Schizosaccharomyces pombe: one gene and its partner. The gene in region 2 interacts genetically with the main gene of each other region. Each region holds a gene or a part of one and is shown on either strand. Other genes may lie near its edges. The genes, in order: SPOM_SPAC15E1.02C and pof7.

Region 1 (3,290 bases), on a different chromosome or scaffold from region 2:
CATCGAAACGCAATGGAAAAAATGGAGGTAGTTTCATTGAGGAATCGAGTGACACTGTTTTAGACGAACATGTTGTGCCTGATAATTCTGCTAAAGCAACTGTTGCAGAAATAGACTACGGTTCACAGGTGGATACAGAGAATTTTATGTTAGAACGCAGTCCATTGGCAACTCCAAAGCCATTGAAGCAACCTGATTTTAATATATATGAGACGCCGATCGTCCGTAGTACAGCTCATGAAACAGATGATGAACAAACCCCTTCTAAATACTCCGATAACAGAGTCGAAAGTTCTAGTGATACAGTGTTTGAGAATACTGATCTTAAGTACGATAACAATGTACAGATGAGTAAAGTGACTCATCATGTAAGACACGATACGATATCCACTGATGACTATGACGCTTACGAAGATGCCGAAGATGTTGAAGAGACAAGCCTAACTTAATGTGCATAAGTTTTATTCGATTTGGCAATGATTGTATGCCAGTTTGTGTATTTTTTTTTTACTTTTTTTAACTTTAATTGTTACGAGAGAAATTACCCTGTATTACACTAGGACTGATGCAAATCTTGTGAATCAAGGATTTGCTGAATAGAGTTACAACATACCTTAATATGTACAGTTATAACAAGCAAAGGAAGCTTCGATGTTGTCCAATACCACTATTGGGATACTATTTTCACTTACAGTCTAACCAAATATGAGATAAACACAGAAAAGAAATCTTAGATATTAAAGAAAATTTGATTAACTTGTCGTTTTAAAAATCAGATATTGAACCATCGGAATCTTAAATACGACGTACGCCGTAACCGATCAAGGCAACACTTAAGCCTACTGATTTCACTAGAGAAGATATAGTTTTGACAAGGATGTAAGGGGTACCTCTGCTTTCTGTGAACATATAGTCGACTACGTCGGGCAATCCAGATGCACCAAATACATAAAGACCCACGAAAAAGGCACCTTTGAGTGTCACAGTGCCTGTAAGTTGCAACAATGCAGCGATCGAGTACGACTGAACTGCTGTACTAAGGAAATTGCTAACATAAGTTGTAGCAACCTTCTTGGTTTTACTTCCAGCGTCATATTCGACGTGAGGTGCAGTGCTCATTGCCCTTTTCCAAATATCGCCCATTAGGGGTCCATAAACGAGGAAAGAAGCAGCATGGTCGAAGGCAATCCCCAAGAGAATTGCACTAGGGCGTACATACGGCATGTGAGTGTAGGATGGCATTTCTTGTATTAATATTTAGTTTGAGTTAGAACAAGATTAATATGAATGTGAATATTTTGTAAAATAAATGTTTTGTAATTAAAGGATTTAAGGGCGCTACCACTAAATATATAGTATACTCAAGGTCCAATTATGGATTTAGGTACAGATTAATTTGGGGCGTCACTTTGACGTGTCGATGAAGTATGATAATTGGGAAATACTGCTTAGCCTGACTTGACTTGTTTTAAGTCGCTATTTCGCTATTTACATAGTGATATCTACATCATTTTCCTAAACTTTTGGTGGAGCAATATCTCATACTGTTCGGATGCTGTGCCAAGTCTTGCATAAAGAAATCAGTGAAGTCGATAAATATAAGATTTGGAGTGCAGCGATGGTAACAACTAGTGATTAAAAATAGAAATTTACTACAATAATTTTCGCATGTTTTACATTAAAAAGCCCTCACAGAAGAATCAAAGTTGGATTGAAATTCCAGCACTAAAACAATGTAGCTTAGAAATTTTGTTTGCTGGCCCACATTTGATATATTGCAAGCTTGATCTTACGCAGTAAACACTTTTAGGGTAGCTATCGGTTGTTCACACTATTGCGAACAGTGCGTTGAACGACATTACAGCAGCAAGTAAACCTAACCTAGAGGAATAAGAAACAGTCACATTTGTACAACAAGGGTTTAGCAGAGAAACTTTATGCTGTCGAGTTCCTAATCACCACCATCTAACCATCACTTATAAAAGTATCAAAAAATGGTGAACATTCCCAAGACCCGTAAGACTTACTGTCCTGGTAAGAACTGCCGCAAGCACACTGTCCACAGAGTCACCCAATACAAGAAGGGACCTGATTCCAAGCTTGCTCAGGGTAAGCGTCGTTATGACCGCAAGCAAAGTGGTTTTGGTGGTCAAACTAAGCCCGTTTTCCACAAGAAGGCTAAGGTTACCAAGAAGGTTGTCCTTCGTTTGGAATGCGTCTCTTGCAAATACAAGAATCAATTGGTTTTGAAGCGTTGCAAGCATTTCGAGCTTGGTGGTGAAAAGAAGACTAAGGTATGTCGAAGAATGCTGATAACGAGTGGATTGGATTTAGACGAATTTGTAAAAGAGTTTTTGCCGTGGTTGAATACCTCTCAAATCCAGAAAAAAAATTTTGCAAAGCGCTTTTATGAATTGTCTTTTGTTGAGTTTCATCCTTATTATCGATCATTTTCTTTATTTCATCTACTAACAATCATTTTAGGGTGCTGCTATCCAATTCTAAGTGTTTTAGCAAATACAATTTTCTTCTTTTACGGTGATCCTAAAAGCAATTCAAAGTAGTGTTTCATTTGTATTGTATAAATAATGACATGATTCCGATAGAGTAGCACACAAAGTGATGAGTTGTCATCAATTAGCAGTTCGCTAACGCTAAGGTCTGTTCTCAATATTGGAGCAATCTTTTTCGAGTGTTTCTAGTTCCATCGGTTTGAGTCAGAGCTTTTCAAGACTTGTATTACTGCTTGAGTAGAAGACAGGTGTTGTGATTTCGGAAAATAACCCATCACATTTGTCAGCATGTTAACTAAGATAAAAGTAATCAAACAAGTACAGCGTAAAATAGCGAGAGTACTAAAGCATCAAATATGCTTTCAAGTATTGCAAAAAAATTTTCTTTAAATTATCCATGCTTACGGGTCTTCTAAGGTTTAGGAGACTATGCCATTTGCCGAATTATGGATATATTAAGTAACTAATTGCTAATAGTGAGAGTGTAGTGCATCCTTGCATAACGGCACTTGGATTTCACACTGCAGGCATAATAAATAATTACTTTTTTTTGGTACTAAAGCAACGTACGTTCTTTGTTTTTCTGCGTACGACGTGTACAATTCCCTTGCAAAACTAAGGTTCGCTTGTTCAATTGCTAAATTTGTTTTTGTGGACGACCATTATAACGCGCTTCAATGAGTTTATAAAAGTTTCATTAAATTGCAGTACCAGATAAATCGATATCTAACCTTCTCCCTGCATCTATAATCTCTAGCTTCACCAACATTAAGGCCC
Region 2 (4,446 bases):
AGCGATAAATTGATAAGTTTCTTGATATGGTGAATAAGCCTCGCTACAACACCACAGTATCTATCCTTTCCACATCACAACCCTAATTACAAATTTTCATTATTTACGGGATTTAGGTTGATTTTCGGTTTACATTTTTTCTTTTGCATTAAATAGAATATGTTTTTCATTGTCGCTGCAGGTTTTGTCATCGCAGCTTTAATTGCGGCTATTGGAATGGCGATCAATAGATTTTTTGTTCGCCGTCGACAGGCAAGGGCTGGACAGACCAAACCAGCAACTACACGCCCCATGGCAGAAGCTCGCGCTAGGCCTGGCGCAACAGCAGTTCCTCGCCGTTCACCTACATCTCCCCAGTCTGCATACGTTCCTGCAACTGTATATACATCTCCAATTGGCTCACCTCGTCGTGGCTCTGTTCGGTATACACATGTAATGGCACACCCGAATACAACTACTACCGTTTCTGAAAATTTGCCTGAAGAAGTCCCACCTCCATATAGTCCAGCTGCTACTGCAAGCAATACACCCCAAAATGAAGCAAGCCCTGCAGCAACCGAAGCTGTAAATCACGAACGACCAGCTTCACCACCACCAGTTTACAGACCTCCAGAGGAAATGGTTTAGCTTTGAATAGAAATGAGCGATTTTCTACAGTTTCGTTAATCCTTTCTCTTTTTCTCTTTACGAAACTAATTTACTTTAATTTTATTATCCAAAATAAATCCGTTTGTTAACTTTAAAACGGAATCTTCATGTTGAATTATTGCTCTCCGATATTTCTCCATGTTTTACTTTTGTCATTCAATGCTTCGATATGGCGATTTTTTATGTTGCCTTTAGTTTATTTATTTGTGGTAAAAAAGCAGGGATTTTTTACGAACATGATTACGAATGGTTTTATGGTTTTCTTTATGAATATTCGATCTGGACTTCAAGAAACTGATACGTTTAATATTCCATTTCGTGGGTTTTCCTCTTTTATTTTTTAAGTTTTGTGCATTCTATTTACTCTTTTCTCCTCAAGTATCACGCATGTTTCCTTGGACTTAGGATTGTTTATAACTTTGTACTTCCAAAAATTTGTTAAGCATCTGTTGTTCATTTGTAAATGTATGTTAATGATATATTTCCATGCGAAGAATAATGATGGCATTAATATTAATAAAAAATAATTTCTTTAAATCCTCTCACGATGCGACCTATAATAGATAATTAATCATTTCCGCGGTTTCTAAATTAGTATTCCAAAAAGTAAGACTAGCCACGTTTTAGTGACTCTGAGTCAGCAGTATAGCTATATACTCTGGAGAAAACATAGTCACGATTGTGAGTGAGTGGCATTTCGTTCGTGAATGAGGTATAATTATGGATGGAGTAGAAAGAAATCCACTTAAGCCTTATTCCACGAACTTGAAGTTTTTGAACGTATGTATAAGTTTGACTTGCGGGATACACAATTAGCATTTCTCCAGAAGGAGTCATTGACCAGGAGCCAGTGAGTGCTACGTTTCCATTACTAAACATAGGAGAACTCGACATAGGAGAAAAAAGACTGGTGTTTTGCACACTGAAGTTGCGAACAACATCATTTGGTTCATTACTGCTTTGATAAACGATACATGTTGAATTAGGATAAAGTCGTAAATACCGGTAGTATGTGATCAAATGTATGGGTTGGTTCCAGCTCGTGTCACTAGTTCCAGGTCGAAAGTATCGACAAACGGATATGTAGCATCCGTCAAAACGAGATCGAGGCTTTTTAAGGAACAAAGTCTTCCAGCTTTGCTGGTATTTTTCCACGAGTTCTTCCTCTATTGACTTAATAGACTGTTGCCATTCTTTTTGTTCACAACTGCAATAACAAAACGATCTATATAGAGAATCTGCTCGTAATGCCTTCGCAAAATGCTTACAAGTTAGTGCAATTGAAGAGAGATATCTTAAATCATGAAGGTCCCTAATGCAATTCTCTAGGATAACTAGCAAAACCTCGTCGGGAAGCTTCAGTATATTGGGAACGACCGACTCATTTACAGACTCATTTTCCGTTAACGTTGGAGATGGGACTGAGGAAACAGTGAGCATAGCTTCTGATGCATCTGAATTTAACATTTCCTCCTCTTCATTTCTTTTACACAGTTGCAAACGCTCCAAACGCCGATAGATAGATTCCACATCTTCATGGACTTTATGAGCTAATCGATATTTATTAAGAGATTCACCTAAATTTCCTTCTCTTTCAGATTTTATAGCATCTTTGTAATGTAAAAGTGCTTTTTTCAACAGTATATCCTTGTTCACTGTTTCAAGTTCAAGAGAAAGTTGATCCTCTACTGTACTCATCACTTATTTTATTTCTCAGACGAGCAATCGAAAGTAGATGTATAATTGAAAAAGAAAATATTTTCTTACTTATTTCTCTCAAAATAGAAAAAAAAAAAAAGAATTCAACACGAATATTAAGAGGTTAAGATAGTGCTGAACCTAACTAATGACTTTTATGTTTTTTACTTTTCATACAATTCCTAGCAAAGTATTAACAAGGATTTAAGGATTAAAAGCATCCTTTCACAAGACCTTACTTTGGTAACAATATGGTTTAGTTCATGGGTAGTTAGCCGTTGCGTTTAATATCAAGTTGTGGCGGTTTGATAACAAGAAGAAGAAGATTAAATTGAGTCAATCGTCGCTTCTTTACTGTTTAAAAAATGGACTAGATAAATATTGTAACATGTTTGAGATGCTATTTGGCTATGGGCATATTTGTAGGTGTCTTCGATTCTATCACTTCTAACAAGGCGTTAGGACTTGCGAAACCATTACATAAACTTAAAACTTGTTCAAATCAAAAGTTACTTGGCAATAAGCTAAGTGGATATTAGGATTTTAGCGATATAGAAAACATTTCGATTTGATGAATTATTGTAATAATTACCAGCTTCATGTAGCATTACTGCATTTATTTATGGTGAATATGATAGCGATTTTTATTGTTAATAAACGAGTAGATACATATCCCGCTTTGCTTTCGGATAATTCTCAGCATATCTTCGTCAAAAGCAATTGAGATTTAGATATGGTTTCGGGAACACAGTCGAAACCAAACTCATTGATAATGTACGATGCCTTCCAATCGCTATATGAATCTTGAAATAAGTATAAAAAAAATTATATATTGAAAACATTTAAAAAGCACTGTCAAGTTAAATCATTCAAGTAGCTATTTACTCATTCGCTCTCAATAAATAAAGCAAAGCGGAATGGTCCAAATAAAGTACATTTTAAGCTATTCTATTGTTTTAAAGTAGTAATTTTGTAGCTCTTTCATCCAAAAATCCAAATGACCCCTAATTCCTTTTTAAAAAAATTTTTTTCGTATTCTTTTAAAGAAATTCAAAAACTTCATGTTTACCATGACACATGTTTGATACACGCTGATATCCCACTATGCCTTCCAGGCAAATAGAATCAAACTTTGTATACATAATTCTACACTTTGCTGCATCACTGTCAAGGTTTCCTTCAGAGATGGTTCTCATCGGCATTCTAACAAGTTCAACATAAAACTGAGGATTCGTTGGGGGACCATACATCACAACAGCTTTTACACCCCTAAAGTCAAATCGACGGAAATGGTGAGCGCGCTCAGTATATAGCATTATATTGGTTCTACCTTGATAAAAAAGATTGCGGGCTCTAGTCATATCGGATACACTCGAATATTCTGATATGGCAGAATAGTTAATTCCCTCCTCATCCATGTAATTTCTCACACGAACAAAATCAAAATATGAAGGTATATAAACTAAAATACCACTCTGGGAATACTTCTTTAGTTGTACTAGTATAGAACCAGTAAAATAGGAAAAGCGGGCATCTGGAACTTTAATAATAGAATCGACAGAAATGCGAACAAAAGTTTGAGTCACTTTGTACCCCAAGCGGTTTAAAACACCGTGAAGAAGCGAGCGAAATTTAACCTTACCAGCAATATTTGACATGTAGTGAGAAAAGAAAGAATTTATATCTAGATTGTTATATTGAGAAAATAGTATAGTTTGGCGCATATATCTGGCTTGCTGATCAAGATACCAAGGACGAACACGACTGAAATCACAACCGTGAGCTTCTTTAGGCAAACCATTAAGTTCATCAAAAATGCATTCAATATGTTCCCAGTTTTGCATCACGAGAGCATGAGCTTGGTCAACCATTGCTATTTCAATCGAACTCAAATAATCGAGGTCTCGCTTTTTATCTCCCTTGTTACCAATAGCAAGACGAAGTCCCAAAGGACTAGCAACTATAATGTCAGAATTGTAAAACTGGGAAAATAGCTTGACAGTTTTTCTTGTAAATTTAACACCCAGTCGAAACATATCGTCGGTATTTCCGGAAAAAAGATAACGAAAATCTTCTGGCTTTTTTTCTGAAATGACTTCT

Evidence for each region.
Region 1: mutations in pof7 (region 2) and SPOM_SPAC15E1.02C together harm fitness less than expected from each alone (positive genetic interaction), as found in Schizosaccharomyces pombe (one large-scale study listed by BioGRID).

What each region holds. Positions count from the first base shown.
Region 1 is NC_003424.3:3,720,515-3,723,804, forward strand, and holds SPOM_SPAC15E1.02C (uncharacterized protein), read right to left. Parts: upstream 1,323-3,290; 5' UTR 1,243-1,322; coding exon 796-1,242; 3' UTR 743-795; downstream 1-742. Other genes in the region: bud6 (actin-interacting protein 3), read left to right, coding at 1-449; rpl42 (60S ribosomal protein eL42), read left to right, coding at 1,995-2,294, 2,485-2,505.
Region 2 is NC_003421.2:2,370,734-2,375,179, forward strand, and holds pof7 (F-box protein Pof7), read right to left. Parts: upstream 2,605-4,446; 5' UTR 2,347-2,604; coding exon 1,261-2,346; 3' UTR 781-1,260; downstream 1-780. Other genes in the region: SPOM_SPCC70.10 (uncharacterized protein), read left to right, coding at 160-627; U3 associated protein Utp25, read right to left, coding at 3,387-4,446.